Rattus norvegicus: one gene and its partners. The protein of the gene in region 1 purifies or fractionates together with the protein of each later gene. This does not show direct contact. Links are inferred from orthologs where the notes say so. Each region holds a gene or a part of one and is shown in the gene's direction. Other genes may lie near its edges.

The links.
Region 2: the proteins of Cope (region 1) and Sacm1l purify together in Homo sapiens (affinity purification with mass spectrometry; 4 studies listed by BioGRID and IntAct, with this or other methods). This does not show direct contact. The link is inferred for Rattus norvegicus from reciprocal best matches to the Homo sapiens genes COPE and SACM1L.
Region 3: the proteins of Cope (region 1) and Arcn1 purify together in Homo sapiens (affinity purification with mass spectrometry; 4 studies listed by BioGRID and IntAct, with this or other methods). This does not show direct contact. The link is inferred for Rattus norvegicus from reciprocal best matches to the Homo sapiens genes COPE and ARCN1.
Region 4: the proteins of Cope (region 1) and Copb1 purify together in Homo sapiens (affinity purification with mass spectrometry; 6 studies listed by BioGRID and IntAct, with this or other methods). This does not show direct contact. The link is inferred for Rattus norvegicus from reciprocal best matches to the Homo sapiens genes COPE and COPB1.
Region 5: the proteins of Cope (region 1) and Copg2 purify together in Homo sapiens (affinity purification with mass spectrometry; 5 studies listed by BioGRID and IntAct, with this or other methods). This does not show direct contact. The link is inferred for Rattus norvegicus from reciprocal best matches to the Homo sapiens genes COPE and COPG2.
Region 6: the proteins of Cope (region 1) and Copb2 purify together in Homo sapiens (affinity purification with mass spectrometry; 4 studies listed by BioGRID and IntAct, with this or other methods). This does not show direct contact. The link is inferred for Rattus norvegicus from reciprocal best matches to the Homo sapiens genes COPE and COPB2.
Region 7: the proteins of Cope (region 1) and Copz1 purify together in Homo sapiens (affinity purification with mass spectrometry; 3 studies listed by BioGRID and IntAct, with this or other methods). This does not show direct contact. The link is inferred for Rattus norvegicus from reciprocal best matches to the Homo sapiens genes COPE and COPZ1.

Annotation. Positions count from the first base shown.
Region 1 is NC_086034.1:19,156,180-19,160,637, reverse strand, and holds the start of Cope (coatomer subunit epsilon), read left to right. Parts: upstream 1-1,600; 5' UTR 1,601-1,643; coding exon 1,644-1,769; intron 1,770-4,278; coding exon 4,279-4,341; intron 4,342-4,458. Other genes in the region: probable ATP-dependent RNA helicase DDX49, read right to left, coding at 20-143, 1,145-1,259. UniProt on the Homo sapiens protein: The coatomer is a cytosolic protein complex that binds to dilysine motifs and reversibly associates with Golgi non-clathrin-coated vesicles, which further mediate biosynthetic protein transport from the ER, via the Golgi up to the trans Golgi network.
Region 2 is NC_086026.1:132,101,789-132,105,495, forward strand, and holds part of Sacm1l (phosphatidylinositol-3-phosphatase SAC1), read left to right. Parts: intron 1-185; coding exon 186-255; intron 256-375; coding exon 376-448; intron 449-1,411; coding exon 1,412-1,505; intron 1,506-1,620; coding exon 1,621-1,713; intron 1,714-2,895; coding exon 2,896-2,953; intron 2,954-3,707.
Region 3 is NC_086026.1:53,961,897-53,965,603, reverse strand, and holds part of Arcn1 (coatomer subunit delta), read left to right. Parts: intron 1-1,306; coding exon 1,307-1,472; intron 1,473-2,369; coding exon 2,370-2,517; intron 2,518-2,914; coding exon 2,915-3,023; intron 3,024-3,707. UniProt on the Homo sapiens protein: Component of the coatomer, a cytosolic protein complex that binds to dilysine motifs and reversibly associates with Golgi non-clathrin-coated vesicles, which further mediate biosynthetic protein transport from the ER, via the Golgi up to the trans Golgi network.
Region 4 is NC_086019.1:177,869,942-177,874,448, reverse strand, and holds the start of Copb1 (coatomer subunit beta), read left to right. Parts: upstream 1-1,608; 5' UTR 1,609-1,706; exon of another isoform or gene 1,707-1,709; intron 1,710-1,772; exon of another isoform or gene 1,773-2,114; intron 2,115-2,287; 5' UTR 2,288-2,346; coding exon 2,347-2,437; intron 2,438-4,507. UniProt on the Homo sapiens protein: The coatomer is a cytosolic protein complex that binds to dilysine motifs and reversibly associates with Golgi non-clathrin-coated vesicles, which further mediate biosynthetic protein transport from the ER, via the Golgi up to the trans Golgi network.
Region 5 is NC_086022.1:60,465,957-60,470,420, reverse strand, and holds the start of Copg2 (coatomer subunit gamma-2), read left to right. Parts: upstream 1-1,467; 5' UTR 1,468-1,566; coding exon 1,567-1,603; intron 1,604-2,667; coding exon 2,668-2,720; intron 2,721-3,430; coding exon 3,431-3,511; intron 3,512-4,464. Other genes in the region: Tsga13 (testis-specific gene 13 protein), read left to right, coding at 1,021-1,190. UniProt on the Homo sapiens protein: The coatomer is a cytosolic protein complex that binds to dilysine motifs and reversibly associates with Golgi non-clathrin-coated vesicles, which further mediate biosynthetic protein transport from the ER, via the Golgi up to the trans Golgi network.
Region 6 is NC_086026.1:108,043,522-108,047,228, forward strand, and holds part of Copb2 (coatomer subunit beta'), read left to right. Parts: intron 1-1,500; coding exon 1,501-1,638; intron 1,639-3,707. UniProt on the Homo sapiens protein: The coatomer is a cytosolic protein complex that binds to dilysine motifs and reversibly associates with Golgi non-clathrin-coated vesicles, which further mediate biosynthetic protein transport from the ER, via the Golgi up to the trans Golgi network.
Region 7 is NC_086025.1:136,305,053-136,308,759, forward strand, and holds part of Copz1 (coatomer subunit zeta-1), read left to right. Parts: intron 1-511; coding exon 512-593; intron 594-1,176; coding exon 1,177-1,268; intron 1,269-3,707. UniProt on the Homo sapiens protein: The coatomer is a cytosolic protein complex that binds to dilysine motifs and reversibly associates with Golgi non-clathrin-coated vesicles, which further mediate biosynthetic protein transport from the ER, via the Golgi up to the trans Golgi network.

The DNA of each region.
Region 1 (4,458 bases):
CCGTGTGCTAGAGGCTCACCTAGTGGGTGTCAAAACCAGGCAGAAGATGCCATAAGGGTCCTCAGACAGCTTCTGCAGGATGGGAAGTACAAAGGCTGCTGTCTTGCCACTTCCTGTTTTTGCACAACCCAAGCAGTCCCGACCTGGGCAGACGGCAAAGCAGTATTAACATGAAGAAAGGCCATGATTGGTCCTGTGAGCATTCACTCATTATTGTAAGAAATAGATGGGTATGGTCTGCTTACAGTTTATTAGAGTTACAGGTGAGTAGGAGGTGCTGGGCCCTTCTCTCCCTTAGTTGGTGGCTGGCACCCGCATGTCTTACAATTCTAAGACTTGGAGACTTACAGGTGGTCTGCTATGTGACTGAGCCTATGATTATAAAAGGGGGGCAGTTTCAAGCCCCAAATTATTCATTAGATAAGAGTTGGGGCCCCAATGGACCAATGGGGTGGGGAATTTGGGAAGGGGGCAAGCCCTGCAGGATTGGGGGGAAAGCTTCGAAAACTTGCTTGAAATCAGTATACCAGTTACTTTATCCTTTTTTCAATGCCAGCACCCTTTTCTGCAGAATAGAATATTAAAAGCTGTTTTATGTTCACTAATCCCTTGAACATCATCTAATTTCCAACAGTTATTATGACTGCTTGTTTGAAACAATTTTTCAAGTATCCCAGGCTGGTTTGCAACTTGCTACACAGCTGAGGATTATCTTGAACTCCTGATCCTCCTGCTCGGTATTGAGATGACTGAGATGAGAGATGACCACGTTCGGCTCCAAGGATGCCTCTTTAATGGCAAAAGTGAGCTGAACTGAAGAGCACTGACACAAACACGGAGCCTGGAGTTTGACAGCCTCTGTTTCTGTTTGCTACGTCAAGGCCAGTTCTACTCCCCACCCCCTTTTTTTTGCCCCAGTGCCACGTTTTAGTCATTCACCGAACTCTCCCTAATGCTCGGGTTCTACGAAAATTTCAGAGGTTCCATCCATCACCTGTATGACAATGCACACGAGTCAGTCGAAGCCTAAATGCCAATGCTGCGGGTCAGGATCTCTGAAACACCCAATGCTGTCCTGATTCGTGGGACCCGGGGTAAGGAAGAGGGGACAAAGAAAGGCATTAAAAGAGAGTCAAGGACTCACCTTCCAGGATGGCCGGGATGCACCCGAGCTGCACCGGCGTGGGCTGCTTCAACCCCAGCTGTCGACACTGTTCCACCAGCCACGACGATAGCCGGAGCTCAGCGAACCCCGCCATGCTTCAGACTAGTGTAGAGAACCTAGTGGTGAGCACTTCCGGCGCGTGAATGGTACATCACGTCCACCCGGAGCAGTCCCGCCTGGGAAAGTTGTGAACGAACCCTGGCAGATGAATGTGACGTCACGGAGAGCCACTGCGCAGCCACCCGCTCCAGATCCCTCAACCAATCCCAGCTTCGACCGCTTTTCAGTGTTTTGGTCCTGAAAACCTTGTGTTTGTTCATCGAATCCGATCTATAGTTCTCGGGAGGCTTTGCATGGTTTCTGTTTCAACGCCTCCTATTGGTCCCATAGAACTACGTTTCCCATAGTTCCCGGCGGCAGGTCCCTGCTTCCGGCCTACGTGTCTCCCAGGAAGAAGACCGGTTAGAGGGGTGGTGACATGGCTCCTCCGGCTCCCGGCGCGGTCTCTGGCAGCTCTGGAGAGGTAGACGAGCTGTTCGACGTGAAGAACGCTTTCTACATCGGCAGCTACCAGCAGTGCATTAACGAGGCGCAGCGCGTGAAGGTAGGCAGCGTGCGGAGCAGTTCTGAGGTTTTGGTCGGCGGACTCGGTTTTTCTTATAGTCAAGGATAGTTTTGAACTTACTGTGTAACCGAGGCTGACCTGAAGTCCTACGCCTTCAGTCTCCACCCCTTGAGTGCTAGGCTGACAGGCGTGCACCCCTGTGCCCAGCTTCCAAAATTTTATTAGTTGATTGATAGCTCAATTCGTAGCCCAGGCTGACTTGAAGTCAGGGTAATGATGAGGTGACAGGTGTGCGCCACTGGCTCTATCTTGTAACCTCTTACTATTTCGTTTCTCCTCACTCCCCTTTCATTAAGTGTTTAGGCAGGCATCGTGGTGCACGCCTTCTATCCCAGCACTTGGGAGGCAGAGGCGGGCTGATCTCTTAGTTCAGAGTCAGCCTGATCTTCATGAGGGGTTCTAGGTCAGTCGGATAATACTGTAATCTGTCTTAATAACAGTCTCAAGCCAGAGGTAGTGTCGCGTCTCTTAAATCCCAGCACCCAGAGGCAGAGGCAGTCAGTTCTCTGCGTTTTAGGCCAGCCTGACCTACATAGCGACTTCCAGGGCAGCCAGGGTGCCACAGAAAAATCCTGGCTTGGACTGTACCCTCCTCGCCCTCCCACCCCACCCCCCCAAAAAAAGAGAAGTCCGATTATAAATGAAGACAGTCTCCTTTAGCCCAGGCTGGCCTCGAATTCCTCATCTTGCTGAAGAACACTGAATTCTTGATTTTTGTGCTTCCACTCTTGAGTACTGGGATTGCAGTGTGCACTGCCAGCCCCAGTTTATGCAGTACTGGAGGTGGGAAGCACAGCGTTGATGCAAGTGTTCTACGGACTAAATCCCAGCCCTGGCTTTGTTTTATGTTTTAAACAGTCGCACGTAGCCCAGGCTGTCCCTAGATTCAGCAGTCTTGCCTCAGCCCTCCCAGATGCAGGATGACAAGCCTGTGCTTGTCTTTAGTTCATTAAAAATGGGAATTGTCTGCAACAGCCTGTGTTGTTGACAGGATCACCTATCACTGATCCCTCTCTGCATGTGTGTGGAAAACAGCATTCCTGCTGGGCTCAGTGAGAGACAGAGTTGATGGAACTCCAGGCTTTCTAGGTGCAGTAGCCTCGGCAACAGAGGCCAGGCAGGCAACCAGGAAAGTGGTAGTCTCAGGCCTGGCTATTTTGACTGTGAAAACAGCGTAGCATTCCAGGGTCAGGGCATGATGGGCTGGAGTGTGGCTAGGGTAAAGTGTGTAGAGTAGTGTGTGGAGGTTTGTTCTTACTGGTCTCAAAGCTCTCTTTTCTTAAGGTTCTGGACAAGCAGCACTTCCTAGCTTTCCCAGCGGCTCTGTATTCACTGAAGACATCTAGCTCCTAGAAGGTTCTCTCTAGTCCCAGGCTCTTCTCCCATCTCAGAACAGCCAGATGTGGCGTCCTGTCATCCTTAGGACCTCTTCTATCTCCCTTCCCATAGGTCCCTTTCCTCTATGTCTCTGCTTTTAAGGACTTATGTGGTTAGGTGTAAGTTCCTGATTCTGGACTCTGAACTTTAGGGATGCGGGACAATAAATGTTTAGTCACCAGTCATTGACCCAGCAAGCTACTTCAGTGACTCTCTGTGATACCGGCATCTTTCCTTCCTCTCCTTATGCCTTTCAGGTTTAGGGAGACATCAAGACTCTTGTGTACTGGTCAGATGCCCCACCCTATGTCCTCGCCCAGTGTTGGTTGAAGCTTGTGCTCCCTCTCTCTCATCTTCCCTTTTAGTACCTACCACAAGTACACAGCAGCCCCACCTCCGACATCAGCCAGCCCAGTCTCCCTGGGGCCCTCAGCATGTCTCATAGTCCAGGCTGGTCCTTCTGCTGAGTTCCCAGGATCTCTTCAGATAGCATGCAGGTGGCCTGGTCACCATCTGTTCTTCCAGGCAGGGAGAGCTCTAGAACTGTAGGTGGCTTGAGGCAGGGCCTCTCCCTGCTGCAATTTCTGGCCACATGAGAGCTGCTGGTTGCTAGACTGCAGTGATCAGGGGCCCCTCGGTGTGTGGTCCAAGCTCCTCCAAAGGCTGAGGCAGGAGGATCATTAGACTCTGTCCTGGGTGCTAACTAAAATAAATGTGTGTATCCACCGACCACAGAATGGCCTAGCCTGTGTGCCCAAAACACAGTATATCATCACCCTGTCCTCACCCCAGGTATCACACCCAGGAGGCCGAGGCTGGAAGATTTCAGGTAGTTCATGATCAGCCTGGACTCTAAACTCAGTAGGACTTTTCTGGGCTGGGGCATGCAGCCCTGCTGCTGCTGCAGCCATATGGCACTGTGCCCTGATACCTGGGGTGATGACAGCCTCATTGAGATAAGATCAGGCTTTTTACACTGTGCCCTCTGTGGAGGCTCCTTTGGGGCTTCTGGGCCTCCTGGATTCCAGCTAAGGCCCTGAGCTATTAGCCTGAGTGCACCAGGGAAGCTCCCAGCAGGCTCCTCAGCCTCACTCAACAAATCTCCTCACAGCTGTCCAGTCCTGAGAGAGAAGTCGAGAGGGATGTCTTCCTGTATAGAGCATACCTCGCACAGGTGAGTGTGGGCCGCCTGGGAAGGGCACAGGTACTCTGCAGGAAAGCTGTGGACAGTCAACCCAGGGGCCTGGGTCACCATGCTTCATCATGGGGAGGGTTGGGTATGTGTGGTCTG
Region 2 (3,707 bases), on another chromosome or scaffold:
AAAGAATCCATAGAGAAGGGGATTTAGGAACTCAGCAACCTTTGAAATTTTATAAAAGGGTGTGTGGGTGTGTGCACGCGCCAGCAGGAAAAGAACCCCCATGATAGGATTTGTGGACTATTGCCTTTTCTTCCTAAGTCAGGTCTGCTAAAGTCTCATACATATGGGTGTGATTCTGTTTCTAGAGACTAGGAGTTTTGCATGTGGGACAAAAGCTTGAAGAACAAGATGAGTTTGAGAAGATTTACAAAAATGGTAGGTAATTTCTTAGTAGGAGCAAAGTTCAAATTTTGAAATTAATATTTTGCACTAAAACTTTAGTTGACACCTTAATCATTGATTATCAGCTGTTTTTGTTTGTTTGTTTTCCCAAAGCCTGGGCCGATAATGCTAATGCTTGTGCCAAACAGTATGCAGGAACCGGTGCCTTGAAGACTGACTTTACAAGGTAAGCCACACTTTTAACTTGTGGTCTGCATCAGTGGCTTGTAGTCCCAGTGCTCTCTGGCATTCTGTGGTTCTGTGGTGAGCTTTCAGGTACAGTTGTATAAGCCAAGCACCTGTGCCTCACTAGAGCTGTCATGTCAGGATTGCTGAAGACAAGGCTTGGGCATTAGTGGGTTCTTAGCCTCCTTGGGGCAGTCTCATGCATAGAGACATCACTTTGCACCTCAGTCACTAGTCTGATTCCACAGGTTTGGGACACAGCCTATGAGCTGCACCTCTGCAAAGCTCCCAACCATACTCCTGCTCCTGTCAGTTGTTCTCAGTACCTTTGGGTCTTTTCTGTAACACTGTAGAGATTCCCTGGGACCAAATGTGGTTCCTAGTTCTGTGCTGTTTTCTATCTCCTGACATAGGCTGTATTTCTTCTCATAGTTCTCGTTTTGTAGTTAAGCTATTTCGCTTTCTTGTGTCTACTTTGGTAATGTTTTAGAGAACAAACACAATTGCTCTTCTTTTCCGTGGGTTGTATGTATGGATTCAACCAACCACTAACCAAAGCACTCATGAAAAAGTGTCTGTGTCTGTACTGAGCATGTGCAGATGTTTTCTATATCATTTCCTCAATAATACAGGATAGTGTCTCTTTGCTTCATGCTTGCATTATATTAGACACCATAGTTACTTAGAAATGATAAGAGGGTGTGAATAGGGTGTGTGGAAACACTACACCTTTTTATATGAGGAACTTGAACATCTGTAGAGTAGTGTCTAGTAGGGTTCTTTATAGATACAAAGACACAACTATAGATTTCTTGCTAGTGACTTGTAAAATGTCTGTGTTTTTAGGGATAATTTTTGATATCTTTGCTGTTCATGTATTTCTATAACTCTCATGGGTCATAAAACTGATAATTTAGTATGTATATATATATATAATTTAAAACTGGATCTTTTTTTAAATCAGAACTGGAAAAAGAACTCAGTTGGGACTGGTAATGGATGGCTTCAACTCATTATTACGGTACTACAAAAACAACTTTTCTGATGGATTTAGACAAGTAAGTCTGTATTTGATGGTGTTTGTTTGCCACTGAATGGTTATCTCTTTGCACTATTGCTCAATGTAGTCAAATTAAGTTTGGAAAGTTCACAATTTTGTTCTTTATTTTCTAGGATTCTATAGACTTATTTCTTGGAAACTACTCAGTGGATGAATTAGACTCTCACAGTCCTTTAAGTGTTCCAAGGGACTGGAAATTCCTGGCGGTAAGAAACTTTTCTATGATTTCTAGGATTGGAAGTATATGTCTGAAGGTATAGAAAACACCTCTGTTGAAAACATTGCATGCTGTTATAAATGGAATATATATATTTATTTTTCTCTTCTGAAGAAAAGACTCGAATACAGAAAGAATAACTGTGTACACACTTTCTTTCATGACTGCCATATTAGAATGGACACAGGAGTTCTTTTTTCAGGAGAACTTCAATTCTCTTTGATCAGGGAATTGCTAAAGATAAATTTGTAAATGAAGGGCAAGAACTGGACCCCCATCTGGAGTAGTTAGAGAAAGGATTGAAGGAGCTGAGGGGGTTTACAAACCCATGAGAATAACAATACCAACCAATCAGAGCTCACAGGAACTAAACCACCATCCAAAGAGTATACATGGTTCCAGCTGCACATGTAGCAGAGCATGCCCTTGTTGGACATCAATGAGAGGAGAAGCCCTTGGTCCTGCCAAGGCGGGACACCATCCCCCCACCCCCCGCCCCAGTGTAGGGGAATGTCAGAGTGGGGAGATGGGAAGGGGTGGGTGGATGGGTGGGGGAACACCCTTACAGAAGAAGTGGGTCAGGGAATGGAATAGGGGGTTTCTGGAAACCTGGAAAAGGAATAACATTTGAAATGTAAATAATTAAAATATCCAATAAAAAAAATTACAATCCAAAATCTAGAAAGACAGAAAATACATTGTAAAATGGAAAATGTGTTATTTGATAAATTCAGTGTGTAGTTTTACTGAAGAAAAAAAAAAGAAAGAAAGAAAGGTAAAGTGTGTTTGGGATACTTTGCTTTTCTTTTCTCCTGTATTCACAAGACTTTGCAGCTTCTCTGGGGCCTTCTACCAGATGACAAAGTGCCCTGGATGGAAGAGAAGTCTGTTGTCCTTACAGTATTTGGCCAGGTTTGGAGCAGAAGCATCCTTCTGTAGATCTCATACTTTATTAGTATGAAGACTTTTGTTACTGTGATTGAAGCCATAAATAGTGATGTTTGGTTTAAAAACTGAACCCCCCCCCCAAAAAAAAAAAAAACCAAACCAAACCAAAACATTGTGTGTCTGAGCCTGCAGAAGAAGTTTGGCACCTTTCCAGGCAAAGTAGATGGATGATTTTATAACCACGGATTACTCCTAACAGCTGTATCTTTTGGTTATATTTCAGTTGCCTATCATCATGGTTGTTGCCTTTTCAATGTGCATCATCTGTTTGCTTATGGCTGGTAAGTGGACTCTGTTTCATATTCTGCTTTTGTTTTTTCCTTTTGATATGCAGTCTTACTGTTTTTCTCTGTCTGGCTTGAACTTCTCTATGTTGATCAAGCTGGCCTTCAACTAAAAAATAAAAAAATAAAAACATCTGCCCACCTCTGCCCCCTGAGTGCTGGAATTAAAAAAGGTGTGTGCCACAGTGCTTGCCTTTAGATAATGCATCTGAGTCTTGATTACATGCAGCACTAGATGTTTACTTATTATGTTTAATGAGCGGTTTGATAATTGGGTTTTATTTTGTATATATGTGTGTAGTACTGGGCATGGGCATCACTGTGCACTGACACCGCTCTAATTCCTACTAGTTTTCTATTGTTGTTATTGTAGTTGTTAGTGGTCATTCTTTGTTTAGAGTCTCATTTTCTTTCTTTATTTTAAATTAACATACAGGCTATTTGATATCATATGGCATTTTCAAACAAAGTATTTTAGTGGTTCTTCTTTTCCCTTATCTCCTCCAGCACCTTTAATTACTATTGTCACATGAGGGGTGCACATGTAGATAGAGGTGAGGTCAGAGGACAACTCTGTGGAATTAGCTCTCCCATTTTTTTTTTTAAGATTTATTTATTTATTATATATAAGTACACTGTAGCTGTCTTCAGATACACCAGAAGAGGGCATCAGATCTCTTTACAGATGGTTGTGAGCCACCATGTGGTTGCTGGGAATTGAACTCAGGACCTCTGGAAGAGCAGTCAGTGC
Region 3 (3,707 bases), on another chromosome or scaffold:
TTAAGATAAATTCTGGAAAGAGTCTCTGTAAACACCATGGCCAGCCATGTGTCAATCCATGAACTCCACAAAGTATAAAGTTTTTTTTTTTTTTTTTTTTTGGTTCTTTTTTTTCGGAGCTGGGGACCGAACCCAGGGCCTTGCGCTTCCTAGGCAAGCGCTCTACCACTGAGCTAAATCCCCAACCCCAAGTATAAAGTTTTTTAACAAACTTGTTTGTTGGGCTGAAGAAATGGCTCTCCAGTTAGGAGCATTTGTGGCTCTTGTGGAGGATCTGGGTTGGATTCCCAGTGCTAAGTGATGAGTTTATAACCATCCTAAGTCCAGTTCCAGGGGATCTGTTGCTCTCTTCTGACTGCCTCAGGCATCAGACATGCACTTAGTGTGCACATACATATGTATGTACAGATAGACAGACAGACAAAACACCCAATGAATTGATCTGTTTGTGTGTGTGTGTGTGTGTGTGTGTGTGTGTGTGTGTGTGTGTGTGTGTGTGTGTGTACGTGTACTTATGCCACAGTCGGGCAGCATTTGGTTCTTTTGTAACATTGTGGGTTTCAAAAATTGAACTCAGATCATTAAGCTTTGTGCTTTTACCTACTGAGCCATCTTGTAGGCCCCAAAAGAGTATAAAGCTTTTTTTTTTTTTTTTTTTTTTTGGTTCTTTTTTTCGGAGCTGGGGACCGAACCCAGGGCCTTGCGCTTCCTAGGTAAGCGCTCTACCACTGAGCTAAATCCCCAGCCCCGAGTATAAAGCTTTAATTGAGGCTAATCACTATTAAACTCCAAAATAGCACTGAGTTCTGGTTTCTTTTCTTTCTTTTTAAATTTTATTTTTAATCTTCTAAGTTATGTATAAATTTGTGTTTGGGAAGGGTAGTGTTATATGCTCATGAGCACAGGTATGTAAGGACCCCAGAAGAGGGCTTTGGCTGCAGCTAGAGTTACAGGTGATTGTAAGCTGCTCCATGTGAGGTGCTGGGAACCAAACCTGGGTCTTCTGCATGAGTGGTAGTGTTCTGTCAGCTGAGCTCTCTTTCTAGCCCCTTCTCTTTCTTTTTAAGGATAGGGTCTCTTGTGCTCAGAATGACCTCCAGCTCACTGTGAGCCAGAGACGGCCTGAACTCCTGATTCCCTTCCCAACCCTGGCTCAAGTACATGTCCCCAAGCAGTACCATCATACCTGGTTTTATGTGGCGCTGGGATCACTCGGTTCATGATGCTAGACAAACTCTACCAACTTAACTCCGTCCCCAGCCTACTTACCACTCTCCTGACATACTGACTTACGTCTGTTCTATAGTGTGCATATGAAGATTGAAGAAAAGATCACACTGACCTGTGGGAGAGATGGAGGATTACAGAATATGGAGTTGCATGGCATGATCATGCTTAGGATCTCAGATGACAAGTTTGGCCGGATTCGTCTTCATGTAGAAAATGAAGATAAGAAAGGGGTGCAGCTGCAGGTATGTAGGGGCTTTTCATACTGAGTACCCGCATAGTCTCTGCTCTGGATTTCCTATTAGATTTTTGCAGTACTTCCAAATTTAATACAGGCTCTTGCTCCAGCTAGGCTCAACTATAGCCTTGGCCTTTTGTAAAGATGGTCTAAAATCTTGTCTTTATAGAAGGAAACTCTTCCCACAAATTTTTTTTAAAAATTATAATTTATTAGGAATCCTATTTATTCACCATTGTAAGCCCAGAAGGGTTTATTTCCTGTTATTCCTCCTTCTTTTTTCTTTTTTTCTTTCTTTTTGCATGTGCAGTCGTTGAGACAAGATCTCACATAGGTCAGGCTGGCCTCAGACTCACTATGGAACAGAGCATGACCTTGAACTTCTAACTGTCTGCTCCTCCTGCCCCCAACGTGAGAGTGCCAGGACTGTAAGCAGTTGAATCCAGAGCCCCATATATGCTAGGCACGTGCTTTGCCAACCAAGCTACATTTTCAGCTGCCTCTTTTTTTTTTTTTGGAGCTGGGGACCGAACCCAGGGCCTTGCGCTTCCTAGGCAAGTGCTCTACCACTGAGCTAAATCCCCAACCCTGCCTCTTTATTTTTATTTTTAGTATATTCACTCATTTATTCTGCATGTGTCTGTGTTGTGTGCTTATGTGTGTATGTGTGTATGTGTGTGTGTCCATGTGTGTGTGTCTGTGTGGGCATGCATGTGCCATGTCATATGAGTAGAAGACAGAGGATAACTTTCAAGTGTTGGTTCTCTTTTCCTCTTTGTGGGTCCCAGAGACTGAGCGCAGGTTATTGCTAGGAAGCAAGAGCCTTTCCCTATTGAGCCATCTTGCTGGCCCCTTCCTTCACTTGTCACTCTGAACTTCAGGCGTCCTTCTCTTCTCATTCCAGACCCATCCAAATGTGGATAAAAAACTTTTTACTGCAGAGTCTCTCATTGGCTTGAAAAACCCAGAGAAGTCATTTCCAGTCAACAGCGATGTAGGGGTGCTAAAGTGGAGACTACAAACAACAGAGGAATCTTTTATTCCTTTGACAAGTAGGTATCTGTGAGGGGTTTTCTCTTATCTTCATTGACATAGCAAGTTCTTTTTGGCAGTGTGGAACTGATGCTATATTTTGTATATTTGAATTAACCATTTAAATGTTTTAATAGATTTATGTGTATGTGTCTTTGAGTGAGTGTATGTTGCCTATGAATAAGTGTAAAGGCCAGAAGAAGTCATCGGATCCCCTGGAGCTGAAAGCACAGATGGCTTTGAGCCACCAGTGTATGGTGTATATAGGACGCTATAGATCTGCAGTGGTTGATCAGCTGTATTTGCCACTTTAACATTTTCTATTCTTCCATACTCTTGATCTTAGCCCAAGGCCAAGAAACAGTTCTACTCTTTTTCTAAAGCTGAGGTGTGATGGCCTTGTTTTTTTTTTCTCAGTTAATTGCTGGCCTTCTGAAAGTGGAAACGGCTGTGATGTCAACATAGAATATGAACTACAGGAAGATAATTTAGAGCTCAATGATGTGGTCATCACCATCCCACTCCCGTAAGTGAAGTTCTCTTAATCCTTATCCTTGTGTTGATTTGTAGAACTGATTCTGGGGTTTGGGGATGAATTTTGGTGGCAGTACCTCACTGAGTATCCATTCTGAAATGTTTGCTCATTTTCTTCCCCACTGTGGTTATACTGCTTAAATCTAGAGGCTTAAACACAGCAAGAGCTCTACCACTGAGCTATATTCCCAGTCCTCTTTTTATCGGTTTTGAGACAGAATTTCACAAAGTGGCCAAGAGTGTTCTTTCTTAATCTCAAGAGTAGCTGGGATTATAGGTCTGAAGCACTAGGCCTAACTGATTCTGCTTCTTCATAAATAACTAGTTGGGCATCACTTTGGAGGCAGAGGAGCTCTTGATTTCCAGGGCAACGTGGTCTACAGAACAAGCTCCAGGGCTATACAAACCCAGTTTCAAAAAACAAAAACAATTAGTTGATTAAAAATAAGTTAACGACCAGTTGTAAAGTCTGGTATGGTGGCACAGGCCTATGATCCTAGCCCTTGAAAGGTAGAGACAAGAGTGTCAGAGCTTTGATCTTGAGGTTTGTGTGACCCTGATTTGAGGGAGAAAGGAGGTAGGGTGGAGATCGTGACTACTGTAAAGGAAGGCAGACAAATAGGGCTTTCTAGAAAAGGGTAATTGCTTTTAACAGAAATCAAGAGGTAGAAAGTAA
Region 4 (4,507 bases), on another chromosome or scaffold:
GTTGCCAAACCTAATCTCTCCACCTTGTTTGGTGTCCCTTCTTTCTGTCACTTCTTGGTGAGTCAAGTGAGTTTGGAGAACTAATAACTGCATTTGTAACGATTCCATGTGAAGAAAAAACTGAGTTCAGAAAGGAACATTCTAGAATGCATCTCATTCTCAGAGAATTGTACTGAATAAAGAAAGCTAATCTCAACGATTCCATTGTATGATTCCATTTATATGTTAGAATGGATAGACAGTTGCAGGGGTTAAAGTGGGCCCCTGGCTGTGACAGTTGGTGGACTCAGGAGGGATCTCTGTGGTGGAACTGTTCACTGTCTCGACTGTTGGTCCTCATACGAAACTGAATGTGTTGTTTAGAAACAAGTACATAAATGAGATTCTATAAACTGGTGAAATCTCAATAAGGAGACATGTCAGTTCCTGCAAGACTTCATAAGGCAAAGGAACTGGGCAAAGACCTCTTAGAGGGCTTGTCAGTATCATGTCTTACAATTCCCTAGATTCAAAGCATCTTTTAAAATGCACAAGCTAGATGTAATAGCACTTGCTTGTAATCCCAGCACTTGGGAGGCTAAGGCAAGAGAGAAGTAGATTGAGAGTTGGAAGGCCAGCCTGGACAGTGAAACTATCAAAAATCAAAAATTCAGAGAGGTGGCTCTTTTAAGTACAATAAATATGTAGCCTCTTTGGTGTATTTTGAGTGCTGGGGGATTTGTTCTTTAAACTCAATGTTTCCAGAAAAGGGAATTGTCAGAATAGCTGCGTTCCAGGTAGATGAGAAGACAATTTGTATTCTGTGTCCCGGAAGTGAGGTTAGCTGGTTTTGTATACACAGTATGTATCCAGGTGGTACACACCTGTAATTCCAACTTCTCAGAAACCGAAGACCACCTTCCAAGACCAGTCAGGCAACTTGAGAAAACACTGTTGATGCTTTCAAATATTTTGTTATTAATAATTGACTACGACATTGGGATAAGATATGGAACTACAAATGAATAAAATCTAATGTACTATGTCCAAGTATAGCTGTAACTAGTAGGTCTATGAAGACAAGAAAAATTCTTTGATGCTGACTCTCTCCCTTTACGCATAATTTTTTTAACATATTGGACGCTCTTGAAAGGACAGCAAAAGGCCATTTTGAATAAAGAAACAGTTGTCAGACAACTTCTGATACTCCATTAACTCCAGGTCAACTAAATAAAGTCAGATTCGGATCACCAGGGGTGTTAAGCGCTCAAGTATATTTCCGTATAACCTAGTTGTCTTATTGAAATATTTGAAATCATCTGCCGAAGAGTCGGTTAATTTTCCAATTTGTAAATGAGAGGAAGAAGGACTGCTGAACTCCTCTGTATTTTTTGTACAAGTTTTAGCTCCTGGGGAGAACTGCTAACTGAACACAGCGCTTAAGTCAGCTCCTCACTCACAGGGAAAACTAAACTACTTGCTCACACTGCAGCAGAAACCAACCCAGAGAGAGGAAGAAGATAGCACAGACTTTCAGGGCTCAATGCAGGACGGAAGAGGCTTGTCCTCTCTGGGTCTCCGTACAGACTCTGTAGCTGCATCCTAGTTCCTCCCCGCCTCCTTCCACGTCAGCCAAGGACTCAGTGGAGCCGTCGCGGCAGCGGCTGTCTGGACCGGTAGTCGACGGTCCTACGGTTCCTTCCCGACCCCCACCCCCACGGAGCCAGGTAGCAGCCTGGGCCCCGAGCCCACGGGGTTGTGGCGGTCTCGCGGGGTCGGTGAGCCGCCGAATGGGGAGATGCCGGGCGCTTGACTAGGCCGCGGCGACGGGCAGTGGGGGCGGGGAGCTGGGCCGCGGCCCCGGGGGCCGTGGGACCCGGGTCTGCGCCGCCTAAGGCCTGGCCCTGCGTGGACGGAGGCCAAGGAGGGGCGGCCGGGGCGCACCCACGGGGAACCCGCCACGGCGGAGGAGTCCCAAGATTCTGCAGCGTCTTCGCTTGCTGGCCGCCCTCCTCGAACAGATACGACTGTGTTATGTTGGCAATCGCGGCCCCGTGACGTGGTGCTCCGAGTTGTCACTGTGGTGTGGACCTCGACTCCACAGCTTTCCACACCCTGGGTCGGGGAGTGGACGGGTACGGGGACTGAGTGATTGTCACTAGAGTTCATGGAGGGAGGAGATTGGGAGAGCTCTATAGATCGACATCCTCAGAACCACAGGGAAAGAACTTCAGGCAGTATAAAGATCAGAACTGATTTGCCCAATTTGTCTCTTTTTTTCTAATGATACTTGTATTCCTTTTTGTAGATTTACCTGGCACCTTTCGTCCTTTTCATCTTGTTTTGAGTTGGTTATAAACAGGAACCATGACCGCAGCTGAGAACGTGTGCTATACGTTAATTAACGTGCCAATGGACTCAGAACCCCCTTCTGAAATCAGCTTAAAAAATGACCTGGGTAAATAGTTTCTTAACTCAGATAGGAATTGTTTTAATTGATAGGTTAAAAATATAAAAATTGGACATAAAATTATAAAATATAAAAATTAATGTGATGTTTTAAATTCATGTCTATATTGTGTAATATGTAAATCCTGTCGAATATAATTATCTCAAATCTTTTCTTCATAGTGAAAACATTTCACGTCTTTTTGTCGAGATTTTTTTAAATGTGTAGGATACAGTTGTTCACTGTAGTCCACAATATCAGACCACAACTTTTTATCTTATACTCGGTAGCCATTGATCAGCCTGCCTGCCTGCCTGCCTGCCTTCCTTCCTTCCTTCCTTCCTTCCTTCCTTCCTTCCTTCCTTCCTTCCTTTCTTGCTCTCTCCCCCAGCTCTGAGAAGCACAATTCTTTTTTTCTTTTCTGTTTTCTTTTTCCTTCCTGAATAAGGCCTTACTCTTTCCCCAGGCTGGCCTGGAACTCACTAACAGGCCAGGGCAGCCTCAAACTTCTATCAGTTCTCTTAACTCAGCCTCCCAAAGGCCGAGATTACAGGTACAGGTCACTAATCACCTTTTACTTTCAACTTCTATGATGATGTAAGTTAATACTTCTTAAATTTTTTCTACCCTAACCCCTTTTCACCTGAGGATGCTTCTTAATAATTGTGTGTGTGTGTGTACCAAAATGTGCTAGTCATATATGCATATTGCGTGTACTTGCATGTGAAGGCCAGAGGTAAACCTTAGGTACATTCCTCAGTCACATTCCACCTTGTTTTTTTAGACTTTTGATTTTTTTATAAGATTTATTTTTATATATATGGGGAGGTGCTTGTGTATGTGAATGCCCGGAAAGGCCAGAGGTGTAGTAGATTCCTCCTGGACCTGGAGTTACAGGCAATTGTGAGCCACCTGATGTGGGTTCTCTGCAAGAGCATTATGTGCTGTTAGCCACTAAGCTGTTTCCAGTTCCCAGGCTTATTCTTCACTGTTTATATAGTGGAAGTGGGGAGACAAATACGCAGAGCACTAGTGTAGCAATCAGAGGACTTAGGTGCCAGCCCTCTCCCCCAGGTGGGTTTTAGGCATTGAACTAAGTGCCTTTTACCTGCTGAGCATTCTCAGAGGTTCCCTTCCCATTATTAGACACAGGATCTCTCACTGACCCTGAAGCTTGCTAATTTAGCTAGGCTGGCTGGCCAGCAAGTCCTAGTGATCCTCATGTTTCCACCTCCCCGGTGCTAAGGGTCTAGGCATGTGCTGCGTGTGACTTTTACATGGGTGCTAGAGATTGAACTCAGATCCTCATTGCTTATGTGGCCAGCACTTTACTTACTGAACCATCTCTCCAGCCCTTCCAGACAACAATTTTTTTTTTTTGAGTCAGGGTTTCTCTGTGTAACAGCCCTGTCTCTTCTGGAACTCACCTTGTAGACCAGGCTAGCCTTAAACTCAGAGATCCAGCAGCCTCCTAAGTGCTGGAATTAAAGATTTCCAGTATGCCCCATGGAAAGAACACTTTTTAAATCATACATTATGGTAGTACAATTCAATCACAGACTAAAATTTGATACTTAAACTTAGAAATGACCATAGGAAAACATTAAAACTCTACTTCACTTAATTAAACCAAAAAATCTTGTGAATATAGTAAAAGCATTGCAGCTCATAACATACAGTACTTTGGAATCTGAGCTGAAAACAACACTATTGGGTGTTATGTCTTAGAAGGGCGTGTGGAGTGTAATGTAAACATGTCATGTGCTCCAAACTAAGGCCACATTGAAGAGCACGCTCATACAGTGCATCACAGGCAAATGCTACCAGAAATGCTGGATTCAATAAATGATTTTGAATTGTGTGGGGTGTGTGTGTGTGTGTGTGTGTGTGTGTGTGTGTGTGTGTGTGTGTTTGTTTAGAAACCTCACTGATGGCAAATTCTACGTTCAGTTGTGCTACCCCAGATTGAGTTGTGACTCACAGTTTAAGAAGCTAGGATTAGGGGCTGGAGAGATGGCTCAGTGGTTAAGAGCACTGACTGCTCTTCCAGAGGTCCTGAGTTCAATTCCCAGGCTCACA
Region 5 (4,464 bases), on another chromosome or scaffold:
TCTGCTGAGATTAAAGGTGTGTGCTACCCTTTCCAGCTTGGAATTTTTCTTAAGGATATGTAATCTAAGCTAGGTAAGACCTTTTCTAATTTTTCAAGAGCCCTGTCCCTGGCAGGATGAGTTAGATATCCATGTATAAAGTAGTGTGTCAGCCTTCGGCTCTAGTGTCATTTATGGTGACTACATATACCCTCTCCAAGTGTGAGTGCTTTACTCTTGTACCTAAAACGGACAGACAGTTATGGTACATTTCCTCAACAATAACAAATCTGCCAGGGCGTTTTACTAGTGGTGCCATTTCAAGCTAATATCTTCTCTGTCCCCCATCATTGTTTGTGTGTGTGTGTGTGTGTGTGTGTGTGTGTGTGTGTGTGTGTGTGTGTGTGAGAGAGAGAGAGAGAGAGAGAGAGAGAGAGAGAGAGAGATCTGAGAAGTGAAGTTTGGTTAGAAGGTTGCCCAAGAAGTAAACCACACCCTCCATGGAGGACTGTAGTTAAGATCTTAGACAACTCCCTAAGAACAGGTGAAGCTGGAAAGACCAACTAGGAATGTGATGCCTCCGATGCCCAAGGTATTAAAAAGTGTGTTTTTCATACTCTGAGACGAGGACAAAACAAAAACAAAAAACAAACAAACAAACAAACAAAAAACCCCAAAAAACCAAAAAAAAATAAAACACCAAACCAAACCAAATAAAACAAACCAAAAAAAAAAAAAAAAAAAAGGAAAAAACATTTGGAAAGGCACTGAGGCACGTGATTGTCCCTTAAATTGCTTGAGTGTTAGTCAGTATGGTCACAGATTGAATCACTTGAAAAGGGTGAAAGCTACGTAGACTACACTGGCTTGAGTGAAGAAGGAATCATAAGAGGCTGGGAATGGCAGTCCCAAAATCCAACCTCTTGGTAAGAGTTAAGACCAGCTTTCCGGTCTCTCCAAAAGGATCACATCATGTCTTCCTTTTAGTACCCGTTTAGTGCTCTCAGAGTCGAACATTCTGTGTCCTGTGCTTTGTCATAGTTTCCATGAAGTCGGCGGATGAAACACCAACTTCGCAAGTGCTTTGGGAACCATTGACATTTTCAAAGCTCCTAGAAGAGAAGCCTACAAGAAGTGTGCCAGGGGAGAGCTGCTTTCGCTATGGAAGGGCCCAGCAGTGGGTGGTCAAAAATGCGGCTGTCATTAAGTGAAGACAAATCCTTTAAGCCCCTCTCTGCGCTCTCCAAGAACTGAGGGGACCTGGAGAAGTCACCAACCAAATAAAGTTCCATGTTTGTAGCCTCAGACCTGAGTTGTAGAGGTTGTGGAGCGGGGCGTGGCGAGCCTAGGGGCAGAGCCCGGCTCCGCCCCCGTGCGGCAGTAGGCGGAGCAGAGGGCGTGCCTGCGTCCCTAGGGGGCAAGGGCGGCCGCGGAGGCCCGAGGGGGGCGGGCCTTGGCCCCGAGTGACGGCCCGCTGGCCCAACCGGTGTGAGAACACAGGGCCTGCCTTCCTGCAGCGTCTTCCGCTCGCCGGCTGCGGCGCCTGGGACGGTTGCGGTGGGTCTGGGCGCTGGGAAGCCGTCCAAGATGATTAAAAAATTCGACAAGAAGGACGAGGAGTCTGGTACGCGCGGCGCTCCGGACGCCCACCCTCAGGCGCAAGGGTTCCCCTTTCCCTCGCCCGTATCCACCTGCTCTGGGGGCGGCCGCAGCGGCGGGGTCTGCCTGAAGCCCCTCCCCCGGCGCCGGGGCCTCCCCTCGGGCCGCGCGCTCCGGGCCGGGAGTCGCCTTGAATTCTCCGCGGCTCCGCCCCGGCGCGTCCCCGCCCCCCGCTCCCGCCCCCGACGGAGCCCCTCAGAGCCGGCCCTCCGTGGGGCCCTGTCGGGGGGCGAGGAGGTGCGCGCGCATGTCTTGGTAGTCTGGGGTTGCTGGTGGGGTTAGGCCCCAGGGCGAGCACCCCCTGTTTTGGGGGCTTGGGTCGACCGGGCCAGGGTTGCGTGTTTATGGACTCTGAAGGGCCTTGATTCTCCTGTTCCCAGGGGTTAAGACTGCCCGGTGGGACACAGCTCATTGAATACGCAGGCATCCAGAAGTGACTTGCGTGTTGATACCTGTCTGTGGTGCAGTGCAAGTGGGGAAGATGCCAAGCCTCTTCAAAAAAAAAAAAAAAAATCTTCAGCTCTTCAGTGGTAGCTGCTCCCACAAGTGTGGTGGAAGGTTGGGTTAGTGGACCTTCATGGCCTCATCCTGCATGGCCTCTTTACATTTGTGATTCTCTGCGAAACTGTTCCTTTCTGCTTCAGTAAATGTGTGAAACACATAAAATAGGGTTTGCTTTTAGGGGAATCCATAGTGTCCTGTCATCTCATTACTCTTGGTGGTGGTGGAACCGACACATTTGTTAACATCCATGGGGTGGGAGAGGGGGAAGCAGGGAATGAAGGCACTCATTTTGGACAGGGTTCCTCTATCAGGAGAAATCCAAGATCTCTCAATATGGCAATGACAGAATTTGTACCAGAATCAAAATTACTTCATCCAACTTACTTGCATATTAGTAATGGTCGTCCTTGTGACTTCCAAGGGATCATTCTGTTTAGGTGAGATCTCCCAAGCATGTACTATCCTCCTTTAGAAAAGTCTGTGCAGTCCAGCTACTGAAGACCTTCTCTTTCTCTTACACTGTAGGTAGTGGTTCCAATCCTTTCCAGCATTTGGAGAAGAGTGCTGTCTTGCAGGAGGTATGGCTTGGATGTGTACAGTGCCTTATAGAGTCTGTTTAAGAATGACAGGCAAAGGGTTGGGGATTTAGCTCAGTAGTAGAGCGCTTGCCTACCAAGCACAAGGCCCTGGGTTTGGTCCCCAGCTCAGAAAAAAAAAATTTAAAAAAAAATAAAAAAAAAAAATAAAAAAAGAAGAATGACAGGCAAAGAACCTAGTAGTATCCTACTAAAGTCAGGATAGCCAAAATAACAATGAGGGACAATGGACCCACCCGACTGTCTGAAAATCAGACTTCCCCCACATTTGATCAAAACTAGAAATTCGTTTACTTATATATTAAAGGTAGCAGAGGAGTGTAGCACAGTGCAGAGGGTGTCCAGTAGAGGAAATGGGAGAGTCTGGAACTCTAGAAGTGTATAGACATGCAGACTCTGCCGTGTGGTAAGTGCAGGGTTACTGGAAGAACTTCCAGAGAGTAAGCTCGTGGTATTCATGTGTAGACAGATACTCTGGTAAAGTCTTTAAAGTTGAAGTTGTCAACCTAAGGGAATAAAGTATAGCCAGGAAAGCAGGCCATATCTGGTAATTATTGTACACCATACCAACTTGAGAGCTTAGACAACTGACATTACTTCGATAGCGTGCCAACATATTGTTAATGTTACTAAAGATGATTTGAGATAGAAAATACACCATTTATAGCATACTATTTTGCATATTTCTGTAGGCACGCATATTTAACGAAACGCCCATCAATCCAAGAAGATGCTTGCATATCTTGACAAAGATTCTTTACTTACTCAACCAGGTAAACTCTTCTGATTTCCTTAGATTTGTGTATTAGAATGGAAATATGTAACCTATAGTGAAGTACTTATTGAAAAGTAGACTTGTTTAAAAAGAAAGCCATGTAATTTGAAAATCCACAGTGTTTGGTTAGAACAATAATGTGTGAAAGTTCTTTAATACAAGGACTGAACTTATATTTCTCTCTAAATTCATGAGGTATTAGACTAGCTAAACATGTACATTTCAATAAATATGTTGATTTCAATTCAACAAATTCTACTTAGAACATACTTGTCACACATATTGATTTTTAGTTTTTAAAGATTTATTTATTTTATGTGTATGGCTTTTATATGCATGTATGTATGTGCATCATGTGTGTGCTTGGTGTTCACAGAGGTCGGAAGAGGGCATCAGGAGGTCCCCTGAGACTAGAGTTACAGAGGTTGGAGCCACCATATGGGTTCTGGGAATCACACCTGGATCCTCTGTAGATTAACAAGTGATCTTAACTGCTGTGCCAACAGCATGTTACATGTATTTTGAGAGCCTTTGAAAATACAATGTAAAGTCAGTCAGATTTCAAGTATTTTGTTTGCTGACTTATTTGGCATAATAATGAAATGTTGAAATTTTTATCTTAATGTTCAGGTTTTATATTAGTATCATCATTACACTAATACTGTCAGTATGATTCTGGACAAGTAATTTAACCATTATATGCCTCATAATGTAAATTAGTTTTATAATACTAATTTTTTAAGCCTTACAGTTGTATAAAATAGTAGATATAAACAGTTATAATAGTGCTAGGCACATAGTTTGTATTCAGAGATATTTTCAATTTATAGCTCAGGAAGTTTTATTGTATACCTGCTGTGTCTTAGTAGGCACTGGAGTTACAAAACCAAAAGAAAGTTTTTTTAAAATTCTGTGTTCTGTTATTGCTATTAATTTTCCTTTTTGCTTTTG
Region 6 (3,707 bases), on another chromosome or scaffold:
TGTTTTGTAGTTCCTTAGAAGTCTCTTCCTGTTATCAAGACGTCACAGATCAGAAATTTTAGTGAGATGCTGCTGGCCTTTCTGCTAGGTTTGTATCTGCACTGATGAAAGGTAACCGTGCTGGTACAGTGATTCAAGAATGTGCTAGTGATACATTCTTTTTGAGACAGTTTTGTCTTATAGCTCAGGCTGACCTTGAACTCACAGTTCTGTTTCCCAGAGTGCTGAAATTGCATGAGTACACCACCACGTCCAACCTGATAGTGTTCTGGTTGTCAGACACTTGTTTGTAAGGAGCCAGGTTTTAAGTGAGATTGCCATGAATGAAATAGTAAAATGTCATTAATGCTGTCAGTCTCAACACCTCAGGAGACATCTTCTGAAGCTTCTGTATTAGTGTTATGAAAGGAGGATGGGTAAAGTAAGATGTGTCTGTTGGAACACGCACTTTAGTACAGATAAAGGTTCAGGTTGCAAGCTTTACTTGAAATGATGGCCGAGAAACTAACTGCTTATCCAGATATATTTAGTAGACAGCCTGATAACTGGAAGAAGCTGGCTGGTCCCTGACCATGTTTGTTACTGATGATAGAATTCTAGTTTTCAAATGAAAGTTTGAATTTTAAAGAGTGAACGTCATGTATTTCTGATATTCAAAGATATGTCAGTTAAAGTAGGAAATGGTTAGTATTAATACTAATTAGTGATTAGTATTAATACTAATCTATTAGTATTAAATACTAATAAATGTGGCTTTTGATTAAGGGTAATGAAGTTTGTCGTATATGTGGATCTGTATAACTCAATGAACTATCATTTCCCAAATGACCAATGTATTCTGTTACAAAAAACAGGCAGGAGTTAAAAATCTGCAAAGTGTAGGATAGACTAGTGGATTTTAATTTAGCCGAGTGTAAACAGTTACTCCTTAGGCTTCAGATCCCACACGTGTTCTTTAAGGAACCCCCACTTCTCAGACAGCATCAAAGCAGAACATCCCATTCTCCAAAATGGCTGATATATTCTGCGTCCTAGCTTTATGTGTTTGAGGCCAGATGGTGGTTGTTTTGTTACATGTCAACCAAAATGGTATATCTGGAAACAAAGCCAGATATAACAGTCTTCTAAAAAAATCAAATTGAGAGTCTTTACATAAATATAAAACATCAGGGTTGAGGATTTGGCCCAGTGGTAGAATGCTTGCCTAGCAAGCGCAAGGCCCTGGGTTCGGTTCCCAGCTCCAAATTAAAAAAAAACAAAACAAACAAACAAAAAAAACCATCACTTGAAGCCCCTATAAACTTTAAGGCTATAAAGTCAGGATAAATTGGAAAACCACCTCTGAAATCTAAAAATACCCCATGCTTTAGACTAGAAACTATTCACAATTTAGCAAAGTTAAAACAGAATTTTTTTTGTAAGCCTCTTATACACTGTTTCAAGCATATTTTATTTGGCTTAAGAATTTAATTTTATTCAACAATTGTCTTTTCCCCTTAGCCTCTTCGACTTGACATCAAGAGAAAGCTAACTGCTAGGTCTGATCGGGTTAAGAGTGTGGATTTGCATCCGACTGAGCCATGGATGCTGGCTAGTCTTTACAATGGCAGTGTGTGTGTTTGGAATCATGAAACTCAGGTAAGATTTTTGAAAGGACTTCATTAGCAATAAAAGCTATAAAATACCAGCACTAATAATGAAAGAACCACCAGAGTCCAAGAAGCCGCGTGTGCACTGCTTCTCGAAGTAGGATGGAGCGTTATTTTCAGGAGCTAGGTTCGTGTGGGTGTTGCCTGTGGAAGAGGTTCTTCTGGGCATAGTGTATGTGATATTTAAATAGAGCAACATCGATGTAGGGAGTGTTAGCACCAGCTTCTGTTCTGCTTATTTTCTCCCTCTGTCACCAGTGGCAAAGAGGCAGCTGCTATCCATGTGTATTGAGAGTGGAACAGCACTCTCGCAGGGCTGCTCTGCAGGGTGAGGTCCATCCGGATGGTCTTACATTCAGATAAGGAAGTATTGGACTCTCCTTGAGGTAGCAGGTCGATGACTTAAAACAACAGCAGTGTTTTATTACTTAAATCCCCCTGCTGCTAATTTACTGGCAAGTCTTAACCATACTGAGCCTTGATTTATTCCTCTGAATGGATGCTAACTGTTGTGACCCTTGCATGAAGAAAGAATGTGAAATAAAATCTTAGGCAGTTGCTTCTCACTCACATCTTGGTGTTAGCTGTTGCTTTCTTAACTTAGATGTAGCCACTTCTGTGGTCTGGGGATGCAGCGTTTTGCTCTTTCGTTTAGCTCCTGAAGTGTAAGTTGACTTTTCTTGCTCTTTGTCCAACCATGCCCCTCATGTGGTACTCAGTCATGGAGGTTCTGTAGCTGGCCTCTTGCTGCTCCACATATCCTTGGATTTGTTGATGACTCAGAAGATTTGGACATTTTTCTGCTGTTGTAGAGACTGCATGCTCAGCTTGCTCTGTTCATGCCATATTCCCTAGTAGCAGCTATGTGTCTGTGTGGCACTCAGCTTTGTCTTAGCCTGCGAAGCCAGATGGTTGCAACAGTGAGCCAATAAGATTATGGTGAGCTCCTGAGATACTCCATTAAAAATGATAAGCTTGGGGCTGGGGGTTTAGCTCAGTGGTAGAGCGCTTACCTAGGAAGCGCAAGGTCCTGGGTTCGGTCCCCAGCTCCGAAAAAAAGAACAACAACAACAAAAAAAAATGATAAGCTTAATTTTTAGAATTTTAAAGAACAGACAAAGAGATCTGCTCATCTCTGGTTTTCCTAGGTCTCTTGAATTCCCACCTTTAATTCATGTAGATGATTCACTCTGAGCACCCAAAAAACATCTAAACCTCGTAGTTTTTATGCTTATTATTACAACAACTAAACACAAACTCTCAGCATTTTTTTCTGGAAATGTGTTGCTAAGATGTAAAAGCAACAACAACAACAAAAAAGAACAATAACAATAACAACAAAAACCAAAGAAAAAACAAACCAAAACAAAATAAAAAACAACCCAAAAAAACCCAAAACATCTTGTTGAGTCATTTCTATGGGTTCAATATTTTTTTTCTCTGAAACAAGGTCTCGCTATACAGCCCTAACTATCATAAAGCTCACTGTGTAGAGCAGGCTGGCCTTGAACTCTCAGCGATCTACCTGCCTCTGCCTTCAGGTGCTGGGATTAAAGGCTCATGCCAGCCACTATGCCTGGTTTATGGGCTCAATTTTTTAAAAAAGGAACCTAAGCTAAGAGACAATTCTCTCAACAGAGAGTGGAGTAAACTGCACAGCGGCTGAGTCACGAGCTGTTGTAGGTGTGGGCTGTACAATGGTCCTGCTTGGACAGTGTGGTGGGGAAGAGTGAGCATGGAGTCTAGCCTAGTGCTTGGCAGTGGTGCCAGAAGGGAGCAAATGGTTTCCTGGGTAGGTTTCCAGACAGGCGCGAAAGGCAACGCTGGAAAGGAGGGGCAGACCAGGACACAGGGTCTGGAGTGCCATCCGCCTTCTGACCATCTCTTCAAAGTTTCTGATTTTCAAATCTGCTGAAGAGAAGTTGATTGCCCCCCTCCCCCAATGTTGAGCTATCATTACATTTGTTTGACTAGAAATACTTCACAGACTGATGCTTTAATCCTAGCAGAATAAGACTCTTTAGTTACTTCTTCATAACTTAATGTGTCTATTCTTAT
Region 7 (3,707 bases), on another chromosome or scaffold:
TCCTAGGAAGCATGTGGTGTATCCTTGAGAGCTTCTGGGTCTGTGCCCTCAGAGTTTTAAAAACAGCTCATAGAATTGTAGGATTGATTAAGCACAGTCCTTTCCTGGTTCTTTTTTGTTTGTTTGTTTGTTTGTTTTGTTTTTTAATTTATTTCTTTTCTGGGTGTATATGTGTGAACTTGTTAGAGAGGCCAGAGAATAACTAGCAGGAGCTCTCTCTCTCTCTCTCTCTCTCTCTCTCTCTCTCTCTCTCTCTCTCTGCCATGTGGGTTCTGGCTCTGAGGCTTGGCAGCAATCTATCTCTCTGTCTCTTTCTGTCTCTCTCTGTCTCCCCCCTCTCTCCCGCCCCCTTCCCATTCCCTGCCTCTGTAGTCCATGCTTCTCTGTCTCAGTATTCCCCTGTTACCTCATGCCTTGAAGGGGTCATACAAGATCCCAGAGTAGAACACTCACTAATCATTGTGGGCTCACAGCTATGGTGACCCAACCATGTCTCCTTCCCTCCCACTAGTACTATGACGACACCTACCCCAGTGTCAAGGAGCAAAAAGCCTTTGAGAAGAACATTTTCAACAAGACCCATCGGACGGATAGTAGGTCATTCTGCACCATTCTCTGTGTTTCGGGGAACCACAGGAAGGGGGTGTCAGCAGGACTAGAAAAAAAGATAAAATGACTCGGCCTCCTCTTTTTTTTTCCTCCTCCCCTCATATAATAAACTCTTCAGAAATGTAATGGGGAGGTGAGTGTACCTCACACGGGAATACCATGGTAGAAGCTTGGCTGTTAGCTACCTGTCTAGTCCCTGGATTTATGAGCCTCACTTGACAAATTTAACTGCAGCTCTGCTTATTGTACCGCATCCATTAGGGCAGGTAAATGGAAGCCTGTAAAGGTGACCGCTCTGCGTTTTTACCTCCGAAGGATCGGCTGCTACCCTGCCTCATACGCAGGGAGGGAAGTAGGTGCAGTGGGGGAGGGAGAACCAGAGAACAGAGACTCCCCTGAGTTTCTGAGTCCCTTCTGCCTACCCCTCGAAACAATAAATAGCTTCAGTGCTTGGAGGTCATTACAGTTGGCCTTTCCTTGGCCCAGGCAGCTGGCCCCGGGATTTCATGGGAACTCCTGTTCTGCCACCTCTTCTCCCACCATTCAGTTTCTGCTTTCTTCCCCCAGGTGAAATCGCCCTGTTGGAAGGGCTGACAGTGGTCTATAAAAGCAGCATTGATCTCTATTTCTATGTGATCGGCAGCTCCTATGAAAACGAGGTGAGACTCACTGTGCGTGTGCTACCTCTGACGCCACTCCAGTGGGACACAGCCACTGGCTTGGGGCTTGCAGAGCTACATTCCTCTGCTCTCTGGCAAGGTCATAAAGAGGTCTGTCAGAAATCCCTGTCAGCCTTACAGAAGAAATGGCCCAGCCAAAGAATCAGTCCAGAAAGGAAGTTTCCTGGGTCTTTTTTTTTTTTTTTTTTTTTTTTTCTTTTTTTAGTAAGGGGCAGTATCTTACTGTATAACACAGGCTGTTTTCAAATCACATCTCTTTCCCAGGTGCTAGAATTACAGACAGGAACCACCATCTCCAATTAGAATATACATCTATACAGTATTAATGTTCTTTCCTACACAGTGGCATTTTAGGTTTTGTTTGCTTCTTTGTTTCTGTTTTATTTTTGAGACAGTGTTACACTGTAGCCCAGACTGGTCTCAAACTCAATGCAATCCTCCAGTCTTAGCCTCTTCAGTGCTGAGATTGTAGGTGTGAGCCACTGTGCCAAGTTCCCATGGCATTTTTTTGTTTGTGTGTGTGTGTGCGCGAGGAGGGAGTTTGAGACAGGGAGTCTATGTGTAGCCCCGGCTGTCCTGGAACTCACTCTGTAGACCAGGCTGGCCTTGAACGTCTCAGGGATCTACCTGCCTCTGCCTCCTGGATACTGGGTCAAAGGTGTGTGCCACCACTACCTTGCTAACCCATGGTGCTTTGTTTGTTTGTTTGTTTGTTTGTTTTTTAACTTTTTAAATTTTATTTTATGTGCATTGGTGTTTTTGTGTGAAGGTATTGGGTCCCCAGGAACAGGGGGTCAGTAGTAGTAGTAGACAGTTATCAACTACCATGTGGGTGCTGGGAATTGAACCCAGGTCCCCTGGAAGAGCAGCCAATGCTCTTAACCTCCAAACCACTTCTCTAGCCCTCTACCCACAGTCACAGTGTTTTTTAAAGGTAGATTTCTGAGGTGTAATCAAGGGTGTGCGTGTGTAAGTGTGAATTTCATGAACCATACAGTAGGAAAGGGTCACTTGATGAGCTCTCACGGTATAAGTGGGTCTGTGAGTGTATCCCTAACCTTCTTGTATGTAGGAAACAACTTCTGGGAGAGTAGAAGGCACGTAAGCCACCAGATAATTTCCCATCACAGCTAAGACTTTTGAGAGACCAGGTCCTGCTGAGCCCTTACTGCTATGTGTGTGCTCTGTGAAGTGTATTGTTTAAGCTTGGCAGCATTTCTGTGGGTGGGAAGCATTACTGTCTTTGTTTTGCCAACGAGGAAACCAAACCACAAAGAACCATATAAAATTACTTTTATTTGGCTTTTGTCAAACTATAAAAGCAGCTGTATGTGTGACTCAGCTCACTAATTCCCTGGAGGTTACCTATGTAGAACAAGCTGAGGTTCAGACCGAGTTCTGACTTGAGAGCCCAAGCTGGGGCTGGACGTGTAGTTCAGTAGTGAAGTGTGCCCATCGCAAATTTCAAGTCTCAGATTTGATCCTTGGTACTGTTTCCTTGTTTTGTTTGTTTGTTTGTTTGTTTTCTTCTAGACAGGGTTTCTCTGTGTAGCCTTGGCTGTCAAGAAACTTGCTTTGTAGACCAGGCTGGCCTTGAACTCAAAGAGATCCACTGCCTCTGCTTTCCGAATTCGGAGATAAAAAGCATGCATGATGAGGCCAATCTCTGGGAATCCAGGATACAGACCTGGCCAGTGTCCATCAGTGTGGCCAGGATTTGATAAAGCTTGATTCAAATTTGGCTTAAAAACAAAACAAAAAAAAAAAAGAAAAAGCATGCATGACCACACCTTACTCTTGAGTACAGTTTTTTTTTTTCTTTCCACCACCTTCCTCTGATCTCAGCTCTTAATAATTTCTCTCTTTACTGATCCATCAGGTAGCTTGGTAAAGGCATAGGGGCAGGGACTGGAGAGATAGTTCAGCTATTAAGAGTGCTGGCTGCTGGAGAGATGGCTTAGCAGTTAAGAGCACTGACTGCTCTTCCAGAGGTCCTGAGTTCAATTCCCAGCAACCACATGGTGGCTTACAACCATCTGTAATGGGATTTGATGCCTCTTCTGCTCTTCTGGTGTGGATATAGATAAAATAAAAATAAATCTTTTTTTTTTTTTTTTTTTTAAGAGCACCGACTGCTCTTTCAGAGGACCTGGGTTTGATTCCCAGCACCCACATAGGAGCTCACAACCATCACTCAATCTCAGGGAATCTAGTGCCTTCTTCTGTCATCTTTGGGTACTACTCATATGTGGTATACAGACATAGTTTTAGACAGATAGTGTATACATTAAAATAATTATTAAAAAGACACTGAGGTAGAGAGGCACGGCAGTGCACACACACCTATTATCCAGTACTTGGGAAGTACAAGGCAGGAAAATCAGGAATTTAGGCTTAACCTCAGTTATATAGGTGGTT